Linked DNA regions of Rattus norvegicus. The protein of the gene in region 2 interacts with the protein of the main gene of each other region in a biochemical or structural test. Links are inferred from orthologs where the notes say so. Each region holds a gene or a part of one and is shown on either strand. Other genes may lie near its edges.

The links.
Region 1: of the proteins of Xiap (region 2) and Htra3, one has a biochemical effect on the other in vitro, tested with the Homo sapiens proteins (3 studies listed by BioGRID and IntAct, with this or other methods). The link is inferred for Rattus norvegicus from reciprocal best matches to the Homo sapiens genes XIAP and HTRA3.
Region 3: the proteins of Xiap (region 2) and Ube2m form a complex in vitro, tested with the Homo sapiens proteins (2 studies listed by BioGRID). The link is inferred for Rattus norvegicus from reciprocal best matches to the Homo sapiens genes XIAP and UBE2M.
Region 4: the proteins of Xiap (region 2) and Casp9 form a complex in vitro, tested with the Homo sapiens proteins (12 studies listed by BioGRID and IntAct, with this or other methods). The link is inferred for Rattus norvegicus from reciprocal best matches to the Homo sapiens genes XIAP and CASP9.
Region 5: the proteins of Xiap (region 2) and Htra4 form a complex in vitro, tested with the Homo sapiens proteins (2 studies listed by BioGRID and IntAct, with this or other methods). The link is inferred for Rattus norvegicus from reciprocal best matches to the Homo sapiens genes XIAP and HTRA4.
Region 6: of the proteins of Xiap (region 2) and Pten, one has a biochemical effect on the other in vitro, tested with the Homo sapiens proteins (2 studies listed by BioGRID). The link is inferred for Rattus norvegicus from reciprocal best matches to the Homo sapiens genes XIAP and PTEN.
Region 7: the proteins of Xiap (region 2) and Htra1 form a complex in vitro, tested with the Homo sapiens proteins (2 studies listed by BioGRID and IntAct, with this or other methods). The link is inferred for Rattus norvegicus from reciprocal best matches to the Homo sapiens genes XIAP and HTRA1.

Annotation. Positions count from the first base shown.
Region 1 is NC_086032.1:79,317,286-79,320,100, forward strand, and holds part of Htra3 (serine protease HTRA3 precursor), read left to right. Parts: exon of another isoform or gene 1-515; intron 516-1,255; coding exon 1,256-1,304; intron 1,305-2,616; coding exon 2,617-2,712; intron 2,713-2,815. UniProt on the Homo sapiens protein: Serine protease that cleaves beta-casein/CSN2 as well as several extracellular matrix (ECM) proteoglycans such as decorin/DCN, biglycan/BGN and fibronectin/FN1.
Region 2 is NC_086039.1:125,790,827-125,794,693, forward strand, and holds part of Xiap (E3 ubiquitin-protein ligase XIAP), read left to right. Parts: intron 1-818; coding exon 819-861; intron 862-2,704; coding exon 2,705-2,905; intron 2,906-3,867.
Region 3 is NC_086019.1:82,735,325-82,739,746, forward strand, and holds the start of Ube2m (NEDD8-conjugating enzyme Ubc12), read right to left. Parts: upstream 2,975-4,422; 5' UTR 2,402-2,974; coding exon 2,293-2,401; intron 1,297-2,292; coding exon 1,202-1,296; intron 1,108-1,201; coding exon 1,069-1,107; intron 976-1,068; coding exon 872-975; intron 567-871; coding exon 503-566; intron 416-502; coding exon 275-415; 3' UTR 1-274.
Region 4 is NC_086023.1:159,390,374-159,394,883, forward strand, and holds the start of Casp9 (caspase-9), read left to right. Parts: upstream 1-1,700; 5' UTR 1,701-1,740; coding exon 1,741-1,872; intron 1,873-3,964; coding exon 3,965-4,364; intron 4,365-4,510. UniProt on the Homo sapiens protein: Involved in the activation cascade of caspases responsible for apoptosis execution. Binding of caspase-9 to Apaf-1 leads to activation of the protease which then cleaves and activates effector caspases caspase-3 (CASP3) or caspase-7 (CASP7).
Region 5 is NC_086034.1:73,713,901-73,718,235, forward strand, and holds the end of Htra4 (serine protease HTR4 precursor), read left to right. Parts: intron 1-2,984; coding exon 2,985-3,150; 3' UTR 3,151-3,822; downstream 3,823-4,335. UniProt on the Homo sapiens protein: Serine protease.
Region 6 is NC_086019.1:240,085,118-240,088,984, forward strand, and holds part of Pten (phosphatidylinositol 3,4,5-trisphosphate 3-phosphatase and dual-specificity protein phosphatase PTEN), read left to right. Parts: intron 1-772; coding exon 773-1,011; intron 1,012-3,867. UniProt on the Homo sapiens protein: Dual-specificity protein phosphatase, dephosphorylating tyrosine-, serine- and threonine-phosphorylated proteins.
Region 7 is NC_086019.1:194,969,337-194,973,203, forward strand, and holds part of Htra1 (serine protease HTRA1 precursor), read left to right. Parts: intron 1-2,007; coding exon 2,008-2,202; intron 2,203-2,667; coding exon 2,668-2,700; intron 2,701-3,867. UniProt on the Homo sapiens protein: Serine protease with a variety of targets, including extracellular matrix proteins such as fibronectin. HTRA1-generated fibronectin fragments further induce synovial cells to up-regulate MMP1 and MMP3 production.

The DNA.
Region 1 (2,815 bases), on a different chromosome or scaffold from region 2:
CTCTTTACTAGATGGAGGGCTTTGGGCCGTTCGTTCCTTCTTGAGTGGACATAAGTGCTTGGCGCTTTCCGGACCCCAAGTGGTGGGATGCATGGATGCAAGCAGTGGTTAGCTCTCCTAGCAGCCTTGTGATGTCTGAAGGCCTGCAGCAACGCCTCCTCTCTAATCCTTGACAGTGACGATGTCAGTTCACCGACATTGACACCTATCCATCTCTTCCTCGTGATCACACTGGCTGATGATTGGTTCACTTTATTAATTTCAGAAGAATGGCTTTTGATTCATTTATTTCTTTGCTGGGTTATTTTGTGTCTCATTGACTCATAGTTTCATCTTCTGCTTCCTTTGAGTTTCACGTGGCCACCTTTTTCTTGTTTCTAAGAGGAATCTGAGGCCACTGGTCTGAGACTTTCCTCTTAAATTAAAAAATATATATATTATCGGGGCTGGAGAGATGACACAGCAGTTAGGAGCAGTTATTGGCCTTACAGAGAGCCTGGGTTCAGTTCCCAGCACCCCCATATGTCAGCTCTAAATCTAGTTCCAGAGGGTCTGACGCCCTCTTCTGGTCTCCATGGGCACTGCAAATATGTGGTGCACATACATACAGACAAAATACTTGCATACATAAAATAAAAATAAATAAATCTCTTTAAAATTTTATTATTTTACTCTGGGGGAGGGGGTTGTGTCATGCCATTCATGTGGAGGCTTACAGGTCAACTTTGTGGAGTAGGATCTTTCTCCACCTTTATGTGGGTTCTGGGGATCAGGCTCAAGTCACCAGGTTTGTACCACAAACATTCTCACCTGCTGAGCCCTCTCACCTGCCTGAGTCCTTTTTTTCTGACATGGGTGCTAACTTGTGTTCTTTGCTTCTGAGAACAGCCTCTGTGCCCTGAAAGCCTCGGTTAGGAATATGTTCGTTTATGTAGTTGAAACAACCTTCTCATTTCTCCTTTTGCTTTCCTCTCTGAGGATGGCTTGTTCTTGTGTACTTCCTGGGCATCTGGATTTCAGAGACTCTTGGTGTTATTGATTGCTGGTTTAAACCCACCATGCTCAGGGAATCTTAGTGAAATGAAAAACCAAAATGTGTCAAGCCCTGCTTTGTGTTGAGAACCTGTCCCCATGGTTTCACCGCCAAAGCAGCCAGGGGTGGGCTGCTGGTTCCAGGCTGTTGAGTCTCCTCTGGGTTCCCTTCTCAAGGGCAGTGACCATGTAGCCTAACTGAGCCACTGTGTTCCGTTTCCAGACTGGAAGAAGCGCTTCATTGGCATCCGGATGCGGACCATCACGCCAAGGTGAATGACGCTCCCCTGTCCTCCCATGAACCCCTTCCACATACTGACTACTGTGTCCAGCTGCTGGCAGGTGCTAGAGAGGTCAGACCCACCACCACTGCCTGATGGATTCCTTCTGACTCTATTCAGACAACCCTCCTCCAGGGAGCCTCTGGAATTGCTTCCTGGGTTTCTTACAATAATGAATTAAAACTAGGTGGCTTAGAACAACCAAAACATACTACTTGAGAGTTCTGGAGGCCAGAGACTGACATCAAGTGCCCACAGGTCTCACACTCTGAGATTCCAGTCTTATTTCTTCTTGTGTCTCCTGACTCCTCCTGGCTATGGTCACCCCTCAGCAGGCTGCATTAGCCCCCGTCGCTCCCCTTCTCCACAGGCCTCCTCCAGCCTGTGTCTGAGCCCCACGCTGCCAGTCACTGGATATGAGAGCTGCCCAAGTCCATGACTTCATCTCAAGATCCCTGACCAACTAGAGTGGCAAAGACCTTATTTTCAAACATGGTTATATTCTGAGATCCTAGTGGATATTTCCCCATCTCCACGGGCCACTCATGTAAGACAGCCTCCCCCCCCCCCGTTTGCACACCCTTTAGCACAGAGGTGACCCACAGTGTTGTAATGGCTGTCAGGGGTCCTTTCTGCCTGCCGATCATCTTGACTGTGAGTTCCAGGGAGCTGGCTGTGTCCCCACTCACCTCTTGGCTCTGGCTCTGGTAGAGGTTCCGAACAGAGCAGCTGCCTGGAAAGACAGGATGAAAGTGACAATGAAGGGGGTGGACAGGAGGGAGGAAGGAGGGAAGGAAAGTCCAACCCAGGGTTATGAAGGAAGTTACTACATGGTGAAGCTCTGGGGATAACTCAGAGATATTGACCAACCAACCCGATTCCCTCTTCTGTCAATCTAAGGAGCAAAATTTAAACAATCTGCAGTTAGGACCAGTGTGCCAACTCATCTTTAAGTCGTGTGCTTCCCCAACCATTCATCTATCCACTGGCCATCTTTCCAGTCTTCTCAGTCCATTCAGTGACTGAACCATTCTCCATTTCTCCACCCAATACCTCTGTCCAGCCACCCACCCATCTGTCCTTCTTCAGCCACCCTTTATAGTCTGTCCTCCCAATCTAGCTGCCCCATCTCCACACTTGTAGCCAGTCGTGGCTACTAAGCAGTTCCATCTCATGGGGCTCAGGGCTCTCTGAGAACTCACAAGAGGTTGTTTGTCTAGCTTGGGTGGTGGCAGGAAGGGGCAGCCACATGCCAGGGAGCTGGGCTGCAGGCTGAGAGGCTGACACAGGACTGTCTTTCCAGTTTGGTGGAGGAACTGAAGACTGCCAACCCAGATTTTCCAGCAGTGAGCAGTGGAATATATGTTCAAGAGGTCGTTCCCAACTCACCTTCTCAGAGGTATGTTCCACAGGCAGAGGCAGGGTTGCTGGCAGTCATACATGGGGGAGGGGAGGGTGTGCTGGGGCCTGGACTGGGCTTCCTCAATGACCTTATGTGACCT
Region 2 (3,867 bases):
GTCTAGGTCTAACCCATGTTTGCTCTTTGGAGGGTGATTCAATCTCTGGGAGCCCCCAAGGGTCTAGGTTAGTGGACTCTGTTGGTCTTTCCTGTGGTCGGTCTCTCTCTCTCTCTCTCTCTCTCTCTCTCTCTCTCTCTCTCTCTCTCTCTCTGTGTGTGTGTGTGTACATACGTGTACACACCATGTGTTGTACCTGAGGAAGCCATAAAAGGGCATGATTTGGTATTAAAATTACAGGCAGTTATAAGCTGCCCAGTATGAATTCTGGGAACTGAACTCTGGTCTTCTAGGAGAGCAACAGGTGTTCTTAACTGCTAAACCATCTCTTTAGTAACCCTTTAGCGGATAATACTTAAGATTACAAAAATAAGGACAGGGATATACATGGGTTTTACTTTTTCTGGCTAGCATAAACAAGCCCCTGGATTCAATCTCTGATAAGACAAAAAAATTTAATAATATGTCTGAATTGACATATAGGACAGTGGCAATCATAGCATTAGTAAACTGAGAAGAACCTTGGACTGTGATGGGAGTCTAGAACTGACATGATGGTTCTACCATTAGTTTCTAGTTGAGTTTGTATTTGTTTCCCTCCGGGGAGTCATTTGATCTCATTGGCCCTTGGCTTCTTGTTTGTAAAGGGGCGATGATTAGATAGTCTTGCCTTCCTTCCATTCTGTTGGCTGGGCTCTTATGGATAGGCATGTTTCGAATTAGAATAAAGCCAATTTGTTTTATGTTTATTAACTTTTCAAATTGAGATAATTGCTTTTTGCTAAAGTGAAATCTTACCATTCATGTTTCTATTTTAGGTAAGAACTGCTGAAAAAACACCATCAGTAACTAAAAAAATCGGTAAATATGTTTATTAAAAATCTGTTTAGTTTTGTGGCCAGTTTATTATAGTTTGTTTAATGAGGCTGCTATAAATTTAAGAATTTAATTAAGTGCTTATAATTTTATACCAGACATTTTTGTAGTGAGTACATTAATAGAAAGCCAGGTGCTAGAGCGCTTGCCTAGGAAGCGCAAGGCCCTGGGTTCGGTCCCCAGCTCCGAAAAAAAGAACCAAAAAAAGAAGAAAAAAAAAAAAAAAAAAAAAAAAAAAAGAAAGCCAGGTGCTATGGTGCAAATCTATAATCCGAGCACTGAGGATGTTGAAGCAGGAGAATCCGGAACCTGTGGTCAGTCTGGGTTGCATGGCATGGTTTTAAGAAAGGAAGGAACGGAGGGAGGAAAATGTATTAAAGCAACAAAGGTATTAAAAGTTTAGATTTTAATTTTTCATTCATTTATTTATTTTATATGTATGGGTGTTTAGCCTTCATATATGTGTGCCTAGTTGCCCCAGAAGCCAGGAGAGGTATCAGATCCCCTGGAACTGAAGTTAAAGGTGGTTGTGAGCCACCATGTGAGTGCTGGGAACTGAATTCAGGTCCTCTGGGAGAGCAAGTGTTCTTAGCCTCTGAGCCATCTCAGTAGTCTATCTACTGTGTAGGCCGGACTGGCCTGGACCTCTCTCTTTCTGCCTCAGTCTCTTAAGTGCTGGGATTGAGGGAGTGTACCCCCATATACAGCTAAAGCTGATAGTGTGCTGGCAGCCGAGCCCAGTGAATGCCAAGTACTCTGAGCTGCAGCCTCAGTAGTGTTCCTACAGTTCCCTTGAAGAAACAAAGAGGTGATGTGATCTGCCTACTGCCGTGTTATCATTTTGTTTTGTTTCGTTTTGTTTTGTTTTTAGAGATAGGGTTTCTCTGTGTACTCTGGCTATAATGAATTTGCTTTATACACCAGGCTAGCCTCAAACTCACAGAGATCTGCCTGCCTCTGTCTCCCAATTAAAGGTATATACTATTATAAATTAGTAATAGAACTAGCATTATAAACAAGGTCTTCTAAATCACATAGCATATTGTAGATGTAATTTTTAGTGGGGTTATGTATGGTGTTTTGGTGGTAGTGGTGTGGAACAAAGTGTTTCATTGTATCTCAACTGTCCTAGAACTCACTTTGAAGATCAGGCTGGTCTCAAATTCCCAAATACCTTCCTGCCTCTGCCTTCAGAGTGTTAAAATTAAAGGTGTACACCATAACACCTGACACTGGAGTTCTTTTGGAGTTTCGATTTATTTGTCTTTTGTGGGGTTTGTTGATTGTTTTTAAGATCTGCTTTTTCAATTGAAGTGGTATGTTTCAAAGAAAGCTTAATTTAGAGTATCTGATGAGTCCCTGTTCCCTAATGTTGTAACATCATCTGTTTTGTGTGTCAAGGATTAGAAAGCAGGAGAATACTACAGGTATTTATAAATATGCTCGAAATGCGGGGCTATGTTGAATTATTTGGAATGGATTTGGTAACAGGCATAAATAACAAAGTTAAAGAAAGAATTTTCCCTAGCATACTTTTTGTGGTTTCTCAAGACAGGGTTTCCTGGATGTATTTGAACTTTCTCTGTAGACCAGGCAAGGCTAGAACTCAAAGATCTGCCTGTCCCTGCCTCCTGAGTGCTGGGAATAATGGCGTGCACCACCGCTTTTCTTCTTAACTTTGGGGATCAAAACCACAACACCACATATAGTAGGCAAACACTACCACTGAACTCTTCAGCTATCTTAAGTCCCTTAACTGTTTTACTGTTCAGTCATGTTAATGAAAATACTTGTATTATGTTCTTTCTCCACCCAACTTTGATTTCAGATGATACCATCTTCCAGAATCCTATGGTGCAAGAAGCTATACGAATGGGATTCAACTTCAAGGACATCAAGAAAACAATGGAAGAAAAGCTCCAAACATCTGGGAGCAACTATCTATCACTTGAGGTTCTGATTGCAGATCTTGTGAGTGCTCAGAAAGATAATTCGCAGGATGAGTCAAGTCAGACTTCATTGCAGAAAGGTATACATTGCTTGTTTCTGTCGGGAAAATCACCTTGCAGCCCATTCATTTCCTCTCTAATATCCCCATGGCATTAACACTTTGACTCTTTTATTATGGTAAACTTGAAACACAAACAGAAGTGGAAAGAAGAATGGGTTCGCTTCAATAATAAGCAACTTTTTTGTCATCTTAAGTCCCATCTTCTCTCTTTTTGGCCATAGTAAATGTCTATTTTGACATATATTCAACATAGAAGGGTATTTGTACATGTGCCCTTAATGCTGCTTCCTCAGGCTACTATAAGAAAATTCCACAGAACTGGGAAAGTCCAAAAGTAGATCCCCTGCAGATAGTTGACTTCCCAAAGTAGTGTGTATTTCATGCTAAAAATTCCCCCAAGAGTTCTCATGCTTATGACTTGATCAAACCTAATTGTATTCATGCATTGCTTAACAATGAATATATGTGTTGAGACATGGGTTGTTACATAATCTCATCATTGAATGAACGTCATCACTTATACTTACACAAACATAGATGGCATGTGTCCCAACCACTTGTTGTGGCCTCTTATCAAGTTTTATTAACTATATGTTATGCTTTCATATAACTAGCAGCTTAGGAGGTTGATTCATACCAACATCCTCACAAACCCGTGATGCATTATGCTATGACATTAGAAACAATACATGTTCTCTGGTACCAAAGCATTGTCCACTAACACTTGACTCTTTCCCAAAGCCTTTCCTCTGAGCATCATTGTGGAAGGTTAAGCTTGCAGCATGTGAGCGTAAGGAACCCAAACATTCATTCCCTATCACTTTGTTATCACATTTGACAAAATGAACTCTCAACCTCATCAGAAAGCTAGTTGGTTTTTTTTTTCTTCTTTTCGGAGCTGGGGACCGAACCCAGGGCCTTGCGCTTCCTAGGCAAGCGCTCTACCACTGAGCTAAATCCCCAACCCCCAGCAAGTTGGT
Region 3 (4,422 bases), on a different chromosome or scaffold from region 2:
CCACAGTCAAGAGTGGGGGGTTGGACAGCACCCAGCGGGAGGGGGGGCGCTAAACAAGCCAATTCATTTCCCATCGCTGAGCAGGTCGGGGGAGGCAGCACCGACCATAATCACGTGGTGGTCAAAAAAAATAACTAGGGGCAGGTGACAGGGAGGAGAGGCAAGGCCAAGGCAGGGGCCAAGGCTACCCCACACACCCTACCTGGGCCCCCAATAAATATTTGCAGGGGATGCCTGGGCCAGTAACCCTGGCAGGGATGGGTAATTGCTAACCCTATTTCAGGCAGCGCTCGAAGTAGGTGGACCCGATGTAACCACCTCTCATGGAGCGCTGCACGTTTTGTTCAAACAGCCGCCGATTGTTCTGCAGGACCTCGGCAGCCTCCTTGTTCAGTGGGTCCTCGGGGTTGGGCTCCTGTGGCCAGTACAAGTGGAAGTCAACAGGCAAGAGAGGCAGAGATGGCCAACAAGCCCTCAGCCTCAAATGTCTATGCCTACTTACCAAGAAGAGATACTGCAGGCCATAAATTATGGAGTTTATCGTAAGGACTGGCTTCCAGTCCTCTCTGTGGGCAGAGAGCATCAAGGTTATCAGGGGCTGGTGAGTGGGAGGTTGCCACAGGCCCTGCTAACACGAAACAGGTCAGGCCCATAGAAGGGCCATTAACATTGAAGAGTGAGGGGGAAGATGTGGAACAGGGCAGGTCATGGAGAAAGCCAAGGTCAGGTCACTAGAAAAACAACTTGAAAAGGAAGACAGAAACCCAGACTGACCATAAAGGCAAGGACAGAGATGGATGCAGCATCCACAAAGGCTGAGAGGATTCCTAGAAGGCAAGCCTTGGGAGGGAAAGGAAGGCAGTGCCCTCACCTGAGGATGTTGAGGCAGACGTTGCCCTCGAGGTCAATGTTGGGATGATAAACCATTGTTTCACACTTCACCTTGGGAGGGTCATGTGGGTAACCCTGTCCCACCTGGCTCCAGAAAAAAGAGAAATGAGATGGGAGGGTGTTTTGGCTATGCCCCAGTCTTCTCCACAGAGCCACCTTTGTACACTTGAAACTCACCTTAAAGCTGAACACAAACTTGCCGCTCTTGTAGAAGCCCTGGAAGAGGAAGGGGGAAGAATGCATAAAGATCCTGCTCTTAGGGGGCCACCCCTGGACTGTTCTTGGGAATCCTGCCATGTTTTACTCTTACTTCATCAGGACAGATAACCAGTTTGAAGTTGAGGAGGTCGTCTGGGTCTGAGAAGCTGATGTCACACGTCTTGGGCAGGTTCAGCTCGTTAATGTCTAGGTTTGCACAGCAGGGAGAGGGAGAGAAAACAGGTAGAAGAAAGGAGGTAGGTCTGGACATGTGTCAGTAGAACCCCCAAGGTCTCCTGGACCTGAGGTGCTCTTTGTGTGCTGTGCTTTAACTCACTCCATAGGACTAACTACTCTTTCCACTTTTCAGTCTCTACTCTTCTGGATACACGGTATCCCACATACAAGCATCTTCAAGTGTAACTGGATGCCCATCTCTTGGGAAAGGGCAAGCCTTTATCCCCCAACCCCAAGTCCTCCGCAAGTTCCCACAACATAGTCCCCAAGAACCTTTACTCCCATAACCCTTACTTCCAAGAACCCCTGAGTACCTTAAACCTGAGGTTCTCTATTTCTAGTCACTATCTCCATTCACGACTGTTTACCAGTTCACCACTATTCAAGGACCATGACACCTCCCCCCACAACACTAAGTTCAACCTTCCCATCAAGTATCCAGCCTCCACTGTCCTCCCTCTTCTCCGGATTACTCCACGTTCCCATCTGATCCTTGAGATTTCTAGCATGGTAGCTTAAATTGACCCAAACTCCTTTTTTTTTTTTTTTTTTTAAAGTTCCTGTCATTTTCTCTACCCCCCTTCACCTCAAACTCAAAACCACTCTGCCTAAACCCCTGGACTTGAGTCCTGGACCACCAGCCCCAGTATAAAACACTAAACCGTCTCCTACTTATCCCCAATTCGTAACCTTCACAATCTTCACGGCCCGTCACCCCAGAGCAAAGTTCCCCTCTGACTCTCCAAACTATACCCCTCCCCTAACAGATTCCGGGTCCCTAACACTCCAGGCCCAAATATCCCAACGCCCCATACTCGGCCCCAATCTCTGACCCTCCCTAGTGACCGCACCCCCCCACCCCGTCCCGTATCACAACCCTCGAACTCTGACCCTCGATACCAAATATCAGCGGTGGCAATTTCACGCCACGGTCCCTGACCTCGAACGCAGGGTCCCGACCCCTACCCTTCTGAATCCGCAGCTGCGCCGCCGACGCCTTCTTGCTGCTGCCCTTGGTGCCGCCGGCCGACTCCTCCTCCTTCTTCTGCTGCTTCAGCGAGAACAGCTTGATCATCCTGCCGCCGCCGCCGCCGCCGCAGCCGCCGCGGGGCCCGGGACCCCGGCCACCCGGCCCCCCGCCGCCGCCTGCGCCGCTTCCGCTCCTCGGACCCGCTACCGCGGCCTCCTCCGCTGCCGCCCGCCCGGCCTGCCGCGCTGCTCCGCGCCCACCGCACGGCCCGCCTCGGCTCCCGTAGTCCGGCTCTGGCCTGGCTTAGCACCTCGGGTGTGTTCGGAAGTGCTCGGGAGGACTCGGCTATCCTCGGCCCCGCCCCTGCTACGGCCCCCGCGCCCTCCTCCCCCTCTTCCGCTCGGGTCTTGTGAGTCCCCGCTGCGGCTGCGGACGCCGGCCTTTACCGGTCCGCCGCTCTCCCGCCTACTTGCTCCCTTTGCTAGGAGGCTGCGGTGAGGTGGAAGGAGGAGGCGGCAGCCGCGCTTGCGGCGGCAGGGTACCGCAGGGTACCGGTGGAGGCTCAGCTTCCGCGGCAGGCGCGGCTTCGATGCGGAGGTCGGCAACGGCCTCGGGCACCCCGCCGCTTCGGCACTTTCCGTCGTCTGTCCGCTTCGGTTTTTCCTGGCTCGGCTGCGCTCTGCGCCTGCGCAACTCTTGCAGCGCCCCCACCCCACCCCCCTGCTTGCTCCTCGTTGTAGTTTGAGGTTCGGTTTTCTTCGGTTAAGCTCGGGTATTTCCGTTTGTGGAGGTGACTATTTGGCGGTCCATCGGGTACTTCCTGGGATGCGCACCCAGGAGAGTAGGAAGCAGTGCTTGCAACCATTTTTGAACCAGGCAGGTAGTGGCTGTTTGGCTCTTGGTGGTTCTATTCAATATTGCACTTATGCGGATCTCAGCGGGACCAGGTTACCAGGTTAGACTGGATCCTTGCCCTCTTGAGGGCTCAGCAAAGGCAGAACCTGGACGTTGTAAGGAACGTTGCCTAAGGGTGCAGAAGCAAGCTCCCCTTTAATCCCACCGCAATCCCAGATTCAGATTGATGGGAACTAGTTTAAAACTCGAATTGTGGGTTGGGGATTTAGCTCAGTGGTAGAGCGCTTGCCTAGCAAGCGCAAGGCCCTGGGTTCGGTCCCCAGCTCCGAAAAAAAGAACCAAAAAAAAACAAAACAAAAAAACAAAACAAAAAAAAAAAAAACTCGAATTGTTCTGGAGGCTTGAGGTATCAAGTTGGCTTGAGAACAGGCGTTAAGGGCTGGAGAGATGGCTCAGTGGTTAAGAGCACCAACTGCTCTTCCAGAGGTCCTGAGTTCAAATCCCAGCAACCACATGGTGGCTCACAACCATCTGTAATAAGATCTGATGCCCTCTTCTGGTATGTCTGAAGACAGCTACAGTGTACTCATATATAATAAAAATAAATCTTTAAAAAAGAGAGAGAGAACAGGCGTTCAGGGACACCCTAGGCAACACATCGAGACCCTTGTTCCTTAAATTTCTGTTGTGTAACAGACGTGAGCAACCGTGTAGTTCTAGGGTCCGAGGTTGACGTTGGTATAGGTAGGGCTTACGACTGCGATCTAGAGACCAGCAGAAGTGGCACTGTGCTTCTTGATTAACTTGTTCAGTGAGCTTGCATCCAACCACAGTGCTTGGGAGGCAGAAGAAAATAATAGCTCAGGATGGGCCAGTGACTTTGGCTGTCATCTAGGAAACCAGAAGCCAGAGTCGCTGTTGAAAAACATGACCGGAACAGGTTAGGACTATGTTCTGCTCTTATAAAGGCTCTTTGCTGACTGACAGCGTTTGCACCACCCAGCATGGCACAGTTCTACATTCCTTGCCGGCTAGCCCATTTTGAGACCCAAGACAAATCACTCTAGAACTGTTCATTACTGTTTTCTCAGCTATCCTACTCTAGGCTGATTATTTTTGTATATCTGCTGTTTTTCTGGCTTGCTTTCTTCCAGATAGAATCCATCTCTGTAGTCCAAACTCAGCATGTAGTCGAGGTGGATCTTGAACTAACGTTTTTTCCTGTTGTCTCTGTTTCCTGAATGCTGTGTTTACAGGTATATCCCTCCATT
Region 4 (4,510 bases), on a different chromosome or scaffold from region 2:
ACTCATGCTCATTTTTACCAAGCCGAAACTAGGTTATTTAACTGTCTGAGAAATCAGGTGACAGAGATATAACTGCCCAATCCCCAAACCAGCCAGTTTTAGCCAACATGGCGAATCTCCTTGACTTGGCAACTACTCCCCTTCGAGTTTCTTGTTTGGGCTCTCCCCAGACTTCCTGTTTGTAAATTCACCTCAGCTGCTCATCCGAATGTGCATCCTATCTAATGGAAAGAAGCGTTGCCTGATGCTAAAATCGGGAAGCGAGTGTAATATCATCTTTTGACATATTCCATGGTGGATTCTTGGCTAAGGGTCTATCCCAGTTCGGGTTTGAATCTCAGATGCCTCTGTTGGGGGTCAAGCTGTGAGATCCCTAACACATGTCCACAGCTGTCAGCAAGGAATAACTATTATCGGGAATATGTCAGGGATAATAACATGGCTAGCTGGGACAACACCGTAAGTGGCTAGCACGATGCTCAATTATTTTTTAAAAATGATTTATTTACTTAATGTATATAGGAATCTTCATGCACACCAAAAGAGGGAATCACCTTCCATTATAGATGGCTGTGAGCCACCATGTGGTTGCTGGGATATGAATTCAGGACCTCTGGAAGAGCAGCCAGTGCTCTTAACCACTGAACCATCTCTCCAGCCTTGTTCAGTTACTTTTTAAGTCGTGGAAATGAGTGGTACAAAACTGAGAGAACAGAGGACTAGATTCCTGGCAGTTTCTATGTGGGAGGTGCTGAGGAGGGAAAGAGAAGAGAGCGAGATGGAAGTCTGTGGGCTTAGTTTGCTGAGGCAGGATAGCCTGAAAAAGCAGGAGGCGAGGTTTTACTAGCCGCAACGGAGGAGGGCGTTAGAAGAAAGCCACAGCCCGCAAAGGACTTGAAAGACGTCTAGACATGGTTTCTTCCTTTTCCTCTCGCGACCCTTTGAGCATCTGTAGAAATAGGGTCACCAGTGAACTTTGTTAGAACAATCGCTGCTAAGCGGAACCAGCAAATGGGCGGAAGGTAGCAAGGCAAACCTGGGGTTTGGAACCCTAGGGGCGCCCTGGGGGAGAGTGTGGGAGGAGAAGGCCGCATGGAAAGTCACGTGGGTCGCATGGGGGGCGGAGCAACGTTACGTTTGGCCGCTGTTAGAGGCGGGCGAGAGCTGGGCGAGGGAGGGGCGTGAGGAGAGAGCGCTGCAGGGAAAGAGGTGGGGTGAGGCCTGAGTGCCGGACTAGGAGAGAGTTGGAATAGCAAGATGGGGGCGGGTCCTGGAGGCGGGGACAAAGGCAAAAGCAGAGAAGGGGGCGGGCCACGGGGCGGAGCGAAGGAACTCCATAGGGCCGGAGTGCTGGTCTATGAGGCAAGGAAGAGCGAGTCTTATATGAGGCGTGTGACGGGGCGGGGCTTGCGTGCAGCGCCAGCAGGCGGAACGAAGCAAGGACATCTTGGGGCGTGGCGAAGGGGCGTGGCCTGAGAGCGCGGGGGGTGGGGGTGGGGGGAAGGGGGGACGTGGGGGGAGTGAGAGAGGTGGGAGGACTGGTGAAGCGGTGACGGGGCCTTCGGAGCTGAGGTGGCTGCGGAGGTGGAGCCGAGTGAGCTTGAGGGACCGGCCTTGGGGCGGTGACCACTGGTCGGAGCGTGATCCCTAGAGGAGCTATGTGGGGGCGGGGCGTGGGTGCCGGGGCGGGACCCGAGGCCCGGAAGCGGACGGAACCAGGGGTCCAGCAATCCGCTAGCCATGGAGGAGGCTGACCGGCAACTCCTGCGGCGATGCAGGGTACGCCTTGTGCGCGAACTGCAAGTCGCGGAGCTGTGGGACGCTCTGCTGAGTCGTGAGCTCTTCACGCGCGACATGATCGAGGATATTCAGGTGCTCCCCCGCTCCCTTGTGTCCGCCGCTTTTCCCACGGCGCCGGTAGGGACTGGGAGGTCGCAGAGAGGTTCACTGAAGCCACCGCTACGGAGCTCCCGCCCTTTTCTCCCGCTTTGCACGGTGTGCAACCCAGGCCCTGGGAAACCATGGTGTGGGAACTCCATTTTTAAAACCTTCCACAATCCAGCTCTTTTAATCCTTCAGAAGAACCCAAGCACCTCTTTTGTGGAGTGCTCGCTAATGCCACTGTAACCCACACCTTGTTAGTAGTTTAGCCTCTCTGTAGAAGGGTCCTAAACACCCACTTTAGGTTTATACTGGCTCATTGTACTTGTCACTTGCCGTCTTTGAGCCTCAGTTTCCTGGGCTGTGAAATGCAACGGTGTCATCCTGTTCTAGGATGAATGAGATAACCAAGGTGAAGCACTTCTGTGGGGCCACAGCCCCAGGACCCATGTCTTTTTTTTTAGCTGGGCTTTTATCCAAGTGCATGCTTTATAAAGGATTTCAGAAAAGACGGACATTGATACAGGTACCACCGAAGAATACAATCAAACATTTGATTTTTAAAAAAAATACATTTGAGCTTCTTTGCTCCAGTTGATGCCTCACTGCAAGTCTGAAAAGGGAATATTTCTTTTTGAGAGGATATGAGTGTCAGGCCCTGGGGAACTGTCTAGAAAGCTGTCTCCAGCATCTGGATTGGAACCTAGTCTGGTCTAGTGAAGGAAAATAGAAGAAAGTGGTGTAGAGTCATGGGGTTAACTACCAGATAATAACAAAAGTAGTCTCAGGAACACTTTCGGAGGGGCCCATGCTGGCCAAGGAAAGTGGTTTGAAGGGAAAGCCCTAGTCTTCCAGAAGGCATATTAAGGAGGATCAGAAGCCGAACTGTGCAGGGAGGCACCAGCGGCCTCTGTCGTATTTCCTTCTCCAGCTAAGTGTGGTCAGAGCAGTGTCCGACCTAGTGTTGGCAGTGGCAGGCTGTTTGAAAGGAATGGTTTGTTCCTCTGGAATCCCAGCCCTCAGGAGGTAGAGGCAGGAGGATCAGGTGTTGGAGGGGATCCTTGGCTACATACAGAGTTTGAGATCGAGTCTCTGGAAACCAAAACCAAGGGCTGGAGAGCTGCCTCAGTTGTTAAGAGCTTTGATTTCAGTTTTCAGCACCCACATGGTGGCTCACAACTATAACTGTAGTCCCTGGGATCTGACACACTCTTCTGGCCTCCTTGGGCACCAGGCACACACAGTTGGCACATATACATCTAGATACACACACATATACCTACCTACCTACCTACATACATACATACATAGTAAATGTTTAAAAGCAAAACCAAAGCAAGAAGCTAGACATACAGTTTATTTGGTACAGTGCATGTCTAGTATTCGTGAATCCCTGAGTCTAACCCCTAGCCCTATAAAACCAGGCCTGGTGACTCTGGAGTCAGGAGAGGCAGAAGTTCAAAGGTCATCCTCAGCTATGAAGGAACTTGAAGGCCAATCTTGGCTACTTGAGAACTTTTCCTTCCCCCACACAAATATGAAAGTCCCCCCCCCCCAACAGAAACTTCTTTTCCTCCAAAAACAGAGATGTTGGAGATCTTGAATTCTACATTTAATTCTCTTATTTTAATGTTAGGAACAAGTTTAGAAAGTTTGAAGTACCTCGTCCAAACTACTGACCACCATTTTGCTACTTTTAGTAGGGCTAATTAGCACTTAGCACAGAGCTGGACAAACACACAGTAGGTGTCATTGACAAGCAAAGACTGCAGAGGGACATGAACTCAGTACACTGCTAGATTAGTTTCTGTCTATCTACCACAGGCATATTAAGGGGGATCAAAAGCCAAACTGCGCGGGGAGGCACCAGCAGCCTCTGTCCTTCTCCAGCTAAGTGTGGTCAGAGCAGTGTCGGACCTAGTATTGGGAATGGCAGACTGTTTGAAAGGAGAGACTTGTTCCAGGGGTGGTGGTACATACCTGCAGTCCCGGCACTCACAAGGTAGAGGCTAGGTGAGAAGCGGGAGGTAGGGTGACTGTAGATGTCACTGGATAATGAGTGTCTGGTTTTCTATCCAAACAGCGGGCAGGCTCTGGGTCTCGGCGGGATCAGGCCAGGCAGCTGGTCATAGATCTTGAGACTCGAGGGAGGCAGGCCCTTCCTCGCTTCATCTCCTGCTTAGAGGACACAGGCCAAGGCTCTCTGGCTTCATTCTTGCAAAGCAGTGGGCAAGCAGCCAAGCAGGATCCAGAAGCTGTTACACCCCTAGACCACCTGGTGCCTGTGGTCCTGGGACCAATGGGACTCAAATCAAAGGAGCAGAAAGTAGTGAAGCTGGACCCATCTCAGCCTGCCTTGGGAAACCTCACCCCAGTGGTGCTGGGGCCGGAAGAGCTCTGGCCTACTCGGCTCAGGCCAGAGGTTCTCACACCAGAAACACCCAGGCCGGTGGACATTGGTTCTGGCAGAGCTCATGATGTCTGTGAGTATCAAGAGAATGTTTGGCAGGTGGGTGCATTGAGGTTACTGGGGTGTGACTCTGGGTACTGCCCCGGTTGAGATTCAGGATTTAAATGTAACGTTTGTCTTAATGAACGCTCACAGGAGAGACGTGGACTCTTCCGATCA
Region 5 (4,335 bases), on a different chromosome or scaffold from region 2:
TCCCTAGTGCTGGGATTTCAGGCATGTGCTATTAACATCCAGCTTTTTAAGAACATGTGTGTTGGGGACCCGAACTGATCTTGTGCATGTATGACGAGAATGTTTGACGAGAATGTATGATGAGAATGTTTGATGAGAATGTTTGACGAGAATGTTTCCCTTTGAGCCTTTCCTGGATCTTCCCTTTGAATGTTTGAGACATGTCCTCACTGTGCAGCCCAAGCTAGCCTGAAACTTGTAATCCTCTTACTTCTGTCTCCCGAGTGCTAGGATTATAGTCATGTGCCACAATGTCCCTGTTATTCAGTTATTGATAGCTATTAACTAATGATAAATAATTAAATAATTTGAACGGTTCAGTAATTTTCAGTCAGTAGAAGTAGAGAGGATTCAGCAGGTCAGACGTCTTAGTGCATAGTAGGTCTTCTCAAACACCCTTTTCTCTGAGGTGGGAATGGTGCTGGGAACTGCTGTGGCTAACCCCTGTGTCACTAGATCATGGGCTGGAACAGCCCCACGGAAGGTTTAGCAGCTGTCCTCAGTTTTGCTTTAGAATATTTACTGTGAGGGTGGGGCAGCTTGTTCTGCAAATGCTCTTCTCCTGGGCCCTGCCCTTTCTTTATCACTGCTCACTGTTCCTCAAGAGCTCAGCGGTCTGTTTACCAGTTGGCAACTCTTGTAGACCTGGAAGAAATCACAGGTGCATAGCTAAGTGTCAGGTCTCCTGCTCCTAAATATGACATGCCATACGATTTCCCAGACTCTCGGGATCCCTACCCTACCCTGTGCCTCCCCTAACTCCTTATTTTAACTTTTGCTCCAAAGCCAGAGAGCTCAGCTCAGTGAGTTGTTCTCAAAGTGTGGCAGCAGTAGCAATGTTGTCAGAAAGGCAGGCTGGAGCCCCACCCCTGAATGGGTGGCCTTCTCCCCACTCCCCTCTTTCTCTCTCTGTCTCAGTGCTGGTCTTGAACTCTGGATTCTCCTGTTTGCACTTCCCAAGTGCTGGGGTTAGGTGTGTGAACTGTGGCAGATAAATCTCTCTTCCTCCCATCTCCTGCCTTTCTTCCTCCTCTCTTTCTCCCCTCCCTCTCTCCCCAACTTCCCTTAACTTTACTTCTTGCTTTTTGGGGTTCAAATAGAGGTCCTTATGTGTACTAAACATCTGTCCTAGCACTAGACTACATCTCTAGGAGTCTTCCTATTTAACAGATGCCCAGATAGGTTATACACATGTTGATTGAAGCAAGAATTCCTGCTGTAAGCCTCCAACAGCCCGACATCCACCCTCGCTGGCTTCCATCCATTTATATCTAATAACTGCTAATAATTACAGTGACAGCAGCTGGTACTCAGGAACATTTATTATGTCCCAGGACCCGAGTGTTTTTACAGAGTTGTTTGAGGAGTCTTATGACATGACCCAGTCCTTGTTTTTACGGGAAAGCAGCTGTGTTGAGCTACACTGAGGTCACTGGCAAGAAAATGAATTTTCAGCACTGAATCCCGCTTTACTTGGAAGTTGTGAGACACCACCGGCAAAGGCCACTTATTCTGTGTGAGCCTACTTCCTCATATTCAGTGCACAGCAGGCCCCGAGCCCCAGCCCGGTTTCTTTCTTGTTCCGTTTCCCTGCTCACGGCTGCTGAGTTATTGTCTTTCTCTGCAGAGTCTGAGTCATCGCCTGCTACTGCCCTTGTTCCTCAGGATTTCTCGCATGCAGCTTTATCCTTCCTTCTCTTCACAGTCCACTGTATTACCTTTCCACCCCGCCCCACCTTTGGTGCTGGCCATTGAGCTAAGGGCCAGGTATATGCTAAACATACCTTTTACCACTCAGCTATGCCCCTGACCCTTCACGTTCTTCAAAATCCACCTATCTTGGGAACCACTCATTGTTCTTTTATTCTTGAGCTCCCCATTTTCCTTAAATGGCATCTCCTGGATTTTATCTTTATTCAATTGACCAGCTTGTCTGTATTTATTGCTCTTTGCTTTTGGAGTTGGATTTTGTACCTAGAACACCAGTTTCTCAACCCTTTCGGGGGTGGGGGGGCAAACGGCCTTTCACGGGTCTCCTAAGACCATTGGAAAACAGATATTTCCATTATGATTCATAACTAGCGAAATTACAGTTAGAAAGTAGCAACAAAAATAATGTTATGGTTGGGGTCACCACAACCTGAGGAACTGTATTGAAGGGTCACAGCGTCAGGACAGTTGAGAGCCACTGATCTGGAATATATATTCTATGTGAGGGCAGTGTGTTGAAGACTGAATACAGCTATAGCCTCGAGTCAGAGCTGTAAACATCTGGACTTGGAAGCTTGAGTGGCTTTTGCTTTACTGGGACCATAACATCTGGGACACACAGCAGCTCGTCACAGTGCAGTTCCAGAAACTGGGATGGGCTGTCCAGGCAGACTCATCAAAGCACAACTTCCTGGGAAAACACTGGGCTTGGCACTGTTGCTGGTGTATCTAGTAATGTGGGAGGCTAACACAGGCCAGAGACAAAGAGACATTAGATGCTAAAGTGTCCATTCCAAACACAACCCAACGCTTGAAAGGACTTAGCTTCCTATAGACATTAGTATTACTGGAAACACAGGATCATTCTCCTCCAGCTGGCTTCATAGCACATCCTTAATAGTCTTTGCACCTAGAAGGGTCCAGGCTGGTCCTGCCTTCTTGGATTATTTTTCCAGTGGTCAGCAAAATAGTAGGAGAGTATGGGGGTAGGGAAGAATCAGACAGACAGACAGACAGACAGATTGACTCCAAATGGGGATGAGTAGGACTCTTCTTATGCTTTCCTTATCTCCTCTTGTTTTTTTGTAGTGTAGCCCTGGCCGTCCTGGAGCTCACTCTGTAGACCAGGTTAGCCTTGAACTCGAGAGATTCACCTGCCTCTGCCTCCTGAATGCTGGGTTTAAAGGTGTGCGTCACTGCTCCTGGCTTCATCATCTTTTCTTTCTCCTTCTCAGCTCGGGGTTGAGAGACCATGATGTAATTGTCAGCATAAACGGGCAGCCTGTCACGACCACAACCGATGTCATTGAAGCTGTTAAGGACAATGCCTTTCTCTCCATCATTGTTCTTCGAGGAAGCCAAACCTTGTTTCTGACAGTCACACCTGAAATAATCAATTAAGCACCTTACTTTGAGAAACTGCCTAGCAAAACCAGTTATATTACCTGGTTTCTATCGAAGACGAACCAGAGATGGCAGGTTCTTCTGGGTATCAAGAAAAGTGGATGCTTTAAATGTATAAGTACATGTGTGTGTGATACACACACTCGTGCACATGTGTACACACGTGTATACACACACACACACACACACACACACACACACACACACACACATTCTCATGGATCCTGAGGGATTAAGCATGCTCTTCTACTACAAAAACTTTCGTGACTCAAGTGGCCGCAGCTATGGTGATCAGAGAAAAAGTAAAGACAGTAAGAATGGGAAAACAGGAGACTCCTAACTAAATCTTCACAGGGTGCTTTACTTACCGTCTATATAGCCACTAACTGATATGTCACACACATGTACAAACAATCTACCTACTAGATCTGAATCTGGAGTAAAGAGGCAATCATGTTTTAAATAACACCCCTCTGTATGCTGAATTTCCCGGGGTATATCCACTTTGGGCCAGGGTTTGTGGATAGAAAGGTCGTCAACTCTAAGATAGATTACAACTGATGACGTCAGACCACCACACAGGAATATGACCATTTTAGCGGTAGAAACTATCCTGGACCTCTGGTGTTTCTGAGAATGTCTTCTATTAAAACAATTTTTTGAACCATTTACAGACTTTTCACTTAGGTTCTTTCTTTTAATGAAGCTTGTGTACGCTTGGGAAATTTTACCTAGTAAGCTGTGGTAGGGCTTGCCAAGGGCTTAAGTAGTTTATTTTGGGCAACATTTTTATCTTAGTTTACTATCTTCCGGGGTCGAGAGGGTGCTGGGATCAAACTAGAGACCAGTGCATAGTAGGCAAAGGTCTCCTTAAATCGCATGTGAAGCCTGATGTGTGTATTTTCAAGGAGGTTGAGTTTCTTCACCATTAATCTAAAGAGATTGCCTAAGTGTGTAGGAATTATGAGTTGAGCCTTCCAACTGTTACTGTCATAAGCGGGGTTGAGGTTTCTGTGGTTCTTGAACGTGTTGTTGTCATCTCTAGTAACGTGAGGACAGTGATGTCACCTGGGATGCGGAGGCAGACTTTTCCAGGTCTTACTGTACCGGAACTGTTGGTCTCTGTCAGTTACTGTGGGGATGAACGTGGAGTAGGTCTACCCTGTGTCTAGAACCTGTGGC
Region 6 (3,867 bases), on a different chromosome or scaffold from region 2:
CCCAGGGCTTAGACTCTTGTTAAGCAAGCACTTTGCAAACTGAGTTACATCCCTAGGGTTCAGGTCAGGATTTAAGGATCTCAATAGGGTAGAGTAGAAACAGATGCTGGTAAGATTAAAAACCAGTAGTGAGGACAAAACTGAAGTCTTGCTTCTGGACAATATCACCTTGCCTTAAAAAACTCAACTCTGACTGTTGAGAACAAAGATGTCTTAGATTCTTAGTTCATGTGAAAAAGATCTGAAACCTAATTTGGTAAACTTTACATCAATGTTTTTCTGTGAGTGATTAATCTCAAGCCATGTATATACAATTAGAATATTTGTGAGAGAGACCATTTTAAAAATAAAAGTCACCGGGCAATTTTGTTAGGTAGAAAAGTCAGTCTTTTCCATAGTTGACTCTCTTAGTAACCGATACTCTCTTCAGAGCATGTCTGGTGATGATGCTAAGATCTGTTACTGCTCCTGTTAGAAGTTACTACTTGGCAAGAGGCCTGGGGGACATCCATTTGGATTCAGCTGTACGATAGACTATGACGGGTTTCCTTCATGTACAGATTCTTCACTCTTGGAGTGAGGCACACAATGCTTGTTTATTCTTGTCTCATGAATATATTTAAGCATTAGTAAAAGACTGTCTTTCAAACTAGAGTTAGTAAGTAGTAAATTAAAATTCCCTGAGCACCAGTAAGTTTACATGTAATATTTTTAAAGTTAACCTATATTTTAAATACATTTAACTTACACTGGGATTATCTTTTTGCAACAGTTGCACAGTATCCTTTTGAAGACCATAACCCACCACAGCTAGAACTTATCAAACCCTTTTGTGAAGATCTTGACCAATGGCTAAGTGAAGACGACAATCATGTTGCAGCAATTCACTGTAAAGCTGGGAAAGGACGGACTGGTGTAATGATTTGTGCATATTTATTGCATCGGGGCAAGTTTTTAAAGGCACAAGAGGCCCTGGATTTTTATGGGGAAGTAAGGACCAGAGATAAAAAGGTAAGCTGTTTATTTTTCACCCCCTTTCCTCTGTGGACCAAGTTTGACTCTACTTACAGTGCATGTGTGACACTTGGAGAAATGTTACATTGTGGTTACATAGTTGTATCTATCTACTTAGTGTATCAGTCATCCCTGGAGTCTCAGCCCTCTTCCTTAGCTGTACTGAGAACATCCAAGACCTACCTGGGGTAGCTAGGCACACAGGATTATGTGCTGTTGATTCTTTCTGCTAATCTGTGTGCTGTAGGTGTCTAAGTCTCATTTTTCTTGTCTAATAGAACTTTTTTGTACATCTCTCCATTTATTGAGCTAATACCTATTTTTTCAAATCATCCTTTTGTTTTGATGAGATAGGATCTCCCCATAGAGTTGAGGCTGGAGGGCTTTATAGTGCCACCATTCCAGAAAACAGAAATGTGCCCAACACTTTGAAAGCTTGTATCCGTTCATTTAGTTTTTCTCTTCCTGTTGCTGTATTTTGACAACACCAGCAGACTTACCTGCTAACTATACTGGATCTTTATAGAGTTTAATTAAATAAAAGTACATATTAATAAAAATTATCATGATATTTGAGAGGTGTACTTGGAAACAAAATGCATTTTGGTGACAACTTGAATGCCATTACCTAGTAAGCATGGTTTTTAATTTGATGTTAAATAAAGTCATTTTCTAATGGGGGTACTCACTGATAACCAATCAAAGAGCTATTGGTTATTCAGAAAACTAAAGACTTGAAAGCGAGCGATGTGTTTTGCCTGGCACACGTCAATAGTACAATTGAAAACAAAAGCAAATTCTTGTAGTGCTTTTTCAGAGGACCCATTTTGTTAGATAGGAAATTGAAAAGTATTTAATACAAAGAATCTTTGCATGTTTCTTTTTCTCCAAGGACAGTGCCTATATTCAGATAAATTGAAAAGCTTAGGATAGAAGTAAATGTGGCCCAATACAAGATCATAAACTTATTAATCATTGAGTTGTTTTGCAATCTTTTTATAGAAGTTGTAAGTGACAACATCCGTTTGCAGTGTCAAGGGTTGGACATGGCTGCTCTGGGGAGTAAGACGCTTTGGAATTTGATTCTAGTCTTAAATTTGTATTTGTGCCCTACCCCCTCCTCTCTTTCCTTTTGCCTCCACCCCCTTCTGTCTTCCCCTCTTCTACTCTGTTCCTTTTCCTCTTCTTTAGAGGTGGCCATGCACATCATGCTAAGGTCTATGGTTGCAGTGGTCCTGGGTCCTGCACTTCTTTTACAACTGCCGTTTTTAAATCCTGTCTTTGTAACTTCTTTGAGTTTGAATAAGGATATCAAAGGGCTATTTATTGATGGGAGTTCACAAAAAATTACATCTTTAATGCAGTAAAAAAGTCATGAGCTAGAAAATCAGATTTAAGCTAGAGATTCCTCAACTCTGACTCCTGACGAAATGTGTAAATGTTCTGTTATTCAACATGTGTGTAGTTTATATATAACTATAAATTGTCATTGGTAGCTTCCATTTGCCCATTTTTCCCATTTAAGAAATGAGTACCCCTTACCTGAGAACAGCAGGTATCTATATGGGTTGGTTCTGTTCAGTAGTGAGATTTATGAGAGGACGGCTTTTAAACAACGCTCAAAACAGGTAGAAAGCTTGTTGTTATTTGGCTCGTCTTCCTTGCTCTCCAGAGTGCTCTTACCCTAGTACTGGTGAAAATAAGTTATGAAAACTCTTATCACGTATGAAAGAAATGTGGAACATACACAGTTTTTTGACCAATTAAAGTAGGCTTTGTCAGATAAAATCTCTTAAGACTAGACATGGGCATGTATTAGTTTCTTTGTCTTCAAGATCATTAACTGTGGGGCAGGAAAAGACTATGGTCCCTTTTAGTTTTCAGGTTGAAGCGTTAACCAACAGAACAGCATTGTCTGGCCAGACGACCTGTGTGCAGTGAAGAGCTTCATAGTTGCTCCTGTCTTTTACAAAGCCTCTCGAGAAGCTCTTGATTGTGAATGTCTTGGCTCTCATGAATTTGGGTTTTTCATAGCAGCAGGTTTTTTTGTGACAGGTCTTGCATAGTCCATGATTTGAGACTTGTGTTCATCAGTAGGGGTACTTTTCACAACCATAGAAAATAGTCTCTTAGGACTAATGTAATTTGTGCTAACCAGTGTGGCAGTGAGTGGCCAGGGCAGAGAGGTCATCCACCTTTACTAGTGCAGGAAAAACCAGAGGAGCTGTAGGAGAAGCAGCTACAGAGTATGGAGGGTTCTTGGGGACAGGGAGTGTTCTTAGCCATTTTTATTGAACTTCTTTACAGTAAGACATTTTAATACAATTTTTGAGACTATAGTAAATTATATTATGAGTATATTATATATGTATGTATGTAATACAACCTATGGTATGTTTTTAGGGCTTACCATTTGGTGTTAGATAACCAATTGGTCACCAGCAGATTTTCATCTAGGGTTGAGGCCTGGTCAGCTTTCTCACATCCTAGCACATCTCTTGTCCTCCTCACTCAGCTCATGTTTGGTAGTCATGTTGATGGACTTTATGGGGTAGCCTCTGACATTCCAAGTAGACAGTTGCACAGCAAACTCGGATCCTCTGCCTCTTACAGTCTCTCCAACCCTTCTATAATGATCCCCGAGCCATCGGTGCAGGAGTTGTGTTGTGGATGTTTCTGTTGGAACTCCACAACCCTGCCTTTTGAACTGTTGTGGTTTTCTGCAACGTTCTCCGTGCTACAAAGAGAAATTTCCTTGATGAGGGTAAGCACTACACTTATCTGTTGGTAGAGAGATAAATTTAGAGTATAGTTATGGATTGTGTTGGTTTAGTAAATTAGTGGTTGTAGGTT
Region 7 (3,867 bases), on a different chromosome or scaffold from region 2:
TTCAGAGCTGGGGACCGAACTCAGGGCCCTGCGCTTCCTAGGCAAGCGCTCTACCACTGAGCTAAATCCCCAACCCCCTAAGCTTGATTCTTATCTGTGTAGTTCTGTTTCTTCGGATGTCCAGGCCGACCTGCTGCAGGCTGTAGCCACCTCTCTTGCCTGTCCTTCACAGTTATCCCTGAAGATTCAAAGATAGGATTTCCAGCCAGCCCCAGGCCCCAAAGGAATGGTACTGTCCTGGTGGGCCTCCCCCAGTGTGGCCAGCACTCATCAGCAGCCAGACTCTGCCCCACCCTGCCTCGATGGCTGAGGTCATTCTTGGCAGAGCTTGCTGGCAGGGACTGTTGGCGCCCACCCAGGATAAACATGTCACACTGAGCTTGCTGCGTGCCATTGGATGCCGAGTGGGTCTGCGTAGGGAATGCCATAGGCCCCGGCCTCAGGTGACCTTAAAGTGAAAGGGTCATAGCCAGTGTGGAACTGTGTCTGGAAAGGTGACACACCCTGGCTTGTCACAGCACAGTTGCTGGAATCCTTCAATGGATTTTCAGGGATTTGAAAACTAGTAAACAGCCGAGTAGGCTCTTTCCAGAGAACCGTTCAGGCTCCTAATTCATCGTTATCCTAAATCACCATCATAACAGACCAGTGCGATTGGTGGGCTCTCTTATCCCACTTCTCAGGCGAGGCGTCCGTGCTTGTCATGCAGAGTTTCAGTTTGGCAGCCTGTGCCACAGATGGCTGGTGCCCTGTGGGGTGTGTGGTATCTGAGAGTAGAGGTGCGGCTTCTCAGGCTCCTGGCTGGTGAGAGCTTGTGCTGTGTCTTCCGACATGTTTTCGTAGGCAGTGCTAGTCTTACTGGCCATGTGCATGCGTGCATGAGTGCATGTGTGCGTGCAGGGAGTGTGTGTGTTTCAAATCTGTATCATGGTGCTGTGGGGTAAGTGAGTACAGTGAAATCTCTGTTGTATCTCAGGTCACCCAGGGTCTGGGGCCTCCCTTATCTGCTAGTCAATTGTCCGAGCTCATCAGCAGTTCCATTTCTCTTTGCAGAGAGGATGATAAAGTCTCTTGTCTGGGCTACCCATCCCACCATCCCACCTCCACCCACTGGATTTTTTTTTTTTTTTGTAGCTTATCCTTTCTCAAATTGAATGACTATAAAGAGTTCCCTTAGCAGGCATCCAGGACTAACTTTTTTTTTTTTTTTTTTTTTTTTTTTTTTGTATTCCATGAGCAATGCATAGAAAATTCAGGAATTCTGGGCAATGTGGGAAGAAGAAAGCAGGATCTGGGGCCATCTCAGTGGAAGAAGGCAGCCTCCAGTCATTTTCCCCAGCCCTTTAACCTCCATGGTCCTATCTTGTTATGAGGAGTTATTTAGGGCTTCGGACTCTGCCCAGTATCAGGAGGGAGTGGGACATAGGACGTGGGACATAGGATGTCTTCAGCTGAATCCTCAGTCTGCATCGGCTGGGGGCAGATGCAGTGATAGGGATTTTCCCAGTGTGCACAGGAGAGACAGTCCGCCATTGGGTCCTGGGTGCTGCCAGCCTTTGCTTGTCCTTGTGCCTTACCACCACTGGGCTGCACAAGAAAGTCAGTGCGAGTTTCTGCCTCAGGGCTCCCCACATCCCAGGCCTCAGGAAGGTTATTCATGTGGGAGAGTAGACCCATGGTTCCTTGCTTCCCCTAAGGCACACGGACTCAGGATCCCTGTCTGGGACTTTGATCTTTAAGCCTTAAACCAAAGTTGTCTCCTCTTGTCCTCTCTCCAGCTGCACAGATCGTTCCAAAATGTGAGGCCTAGAAACTGTCTATCACCTTTTCCCATTTTTCCCTGGTACAAGCGCTTCCATTTCATTGACTCGCTAAGGGCCTGTGTGTGGATTATGGCAGGGGCTTGGCCCTCAGGAGAGGAGTGTCCACCCCAAGCTCAGTCCCTAGGGACTGCTCTTCGCTCTCTGTATTTGAATTGTGCAGCAATGACTCCCTTTGTGCTTACAGGGTAAGCTGCCAGTCCTGCTGCTTGGCCGCTCCTCCGAGCTGCGGCCAGGAGAATTTGTGGTTGCCATCGGAAGCCCCTTCTCTCTTCAAAACACGGTCACCACTGGGATCGTCAGCACCACCCAGCGAGGCGGCAAAGAACTGGGGCTCCGGAACTCCGATATGGACTACATTCAGACAGACGCCATCATCAATGTGAGCCCTCTGCTCCCTCTGCCTGCTGGGCTGGGGACGAGTTTTTCCCAGAGGAAGTTGGGCTTCTTCCTATTCCCAAACCGTCTCACAGACTGCATGAATTCCCAGAACATCTGAGATGTTCTGGTGTTAGGCATTAGGTGTTAATGTTCCTCTCGGAGCTGTTCAGAGTTGAACTATGGGGTCCTGAAGCCAGTGGGTGGCCAGTCTCATCGGAGGAGGAGGTAAAAGTGGGGTTAGCTGCTTACCGTGGTCTCAGAACTAAACCATTTCACTATGGCACACCCCAAGCTTCGTGAAAAGTGGTCAAGGTCCTTTTCTTCAGTTAAAATTAGGTGATCCTAGACAAAGCCTAGGGAAGCCCAGCCTGCTGGCTGCTTCATCAGCGCTTTGAAATCTGGGTAGAGACATTGATTAGGTGTTGGTATGACACAGAGCCAACCTTTGCCTTCTGTTTCGTTTCAGTATGGAAACTCCGGAGGCCCGTTAGTAAACCTGGTAAGGCTCTCCAGTACCTACGCCGTGTTTCTTTCTTCTGTGGGCACACCTTTGCTTTCCCCTTGCATGTGAGCTTGTCAGAACAAGCAGTCAGTTGATAGCCATGTGAGCGTTTCTTTGCACCTTTCCCCACCAGCCCTTTCCGGAAGCAGTAAGGTCAGAGGACACGTTGGTGTTTCAAGCCATGGGTGGATGCTAAGGAGCTCAAACCCAGTCTAGGCAGAAAGGGGACTGAAAGTCCACATGGCACTGCCAGCTGCAGAAAGTTACCTTCAGCCCTGAGGGCGACTGAGTGGAGACGAGCTGGCCTGGCTCGTGCCCATGCCAAAACTCTCCCTGAATGCCTGTGGGTATGACGGGGAGCCACCTGTTTGCTCACAGATGTCTCACTCAACCGAGACTTCAGTATAAAGCTGAAGGCTTCAGGTCATAGAATGCCAGAGCTTGGGGGTTGTTTGAGAGAGTATAAGTTGAGGCTACCCAATAGTATGTCCTCCTGGGTCCCCTGGGTGTCAGGAGCTGATATGTACAGAGCACATCAGGAACAATTTATACTGAAAGTTTACAGAGTCCTTTTTGTCAGCACAGCATCGGGCCACCAGAAACTTCTTAGGGAAGAGCCACATCTTTAACTTGCTCCAGCCATACCCTGGGGCAGATGCTGGGAGTAAGGCCTGTGGCTCAAGCCAGCATCTACGGTCATTGGAAATAGGGGAGGAAGGGAGGGTGGATAGTCACCTTAGCAATTCAGAGATTCTGGAAACATCCTTCCTATGAAAAGAGAAGATAGGGTGGACTTTGATATATGCAATATATGCAATAAGACAACTATTAGCTTCCACTGAGGCTTCTTTGTTCCATCCACACCTGAGCGTGGGTGGCACTACCCAGGTGCCCCAACAAATGTCTCTCCTTTTATCCCTGACCCTTCTCTTTCCAGCCCTCCTGATTCTCAGACACAGCCCAAATACTGCTCTCCCCCATGTGCCTGTATATATGAGTATTTGCATGCATGTGGCCCCAAGTGTGTGTGTGTGTGTGTGTGTGTGTGTGTGTGTGTGTGTGTGTGCGCGCACTGGAGGGGGAGGGTGTTGCCTGTGCACATGTGTGTATTTGTGGAGGCCCTGTGGAGGCCCGGGGTTGATGAGGGGCTGTCTTCATTCCCTT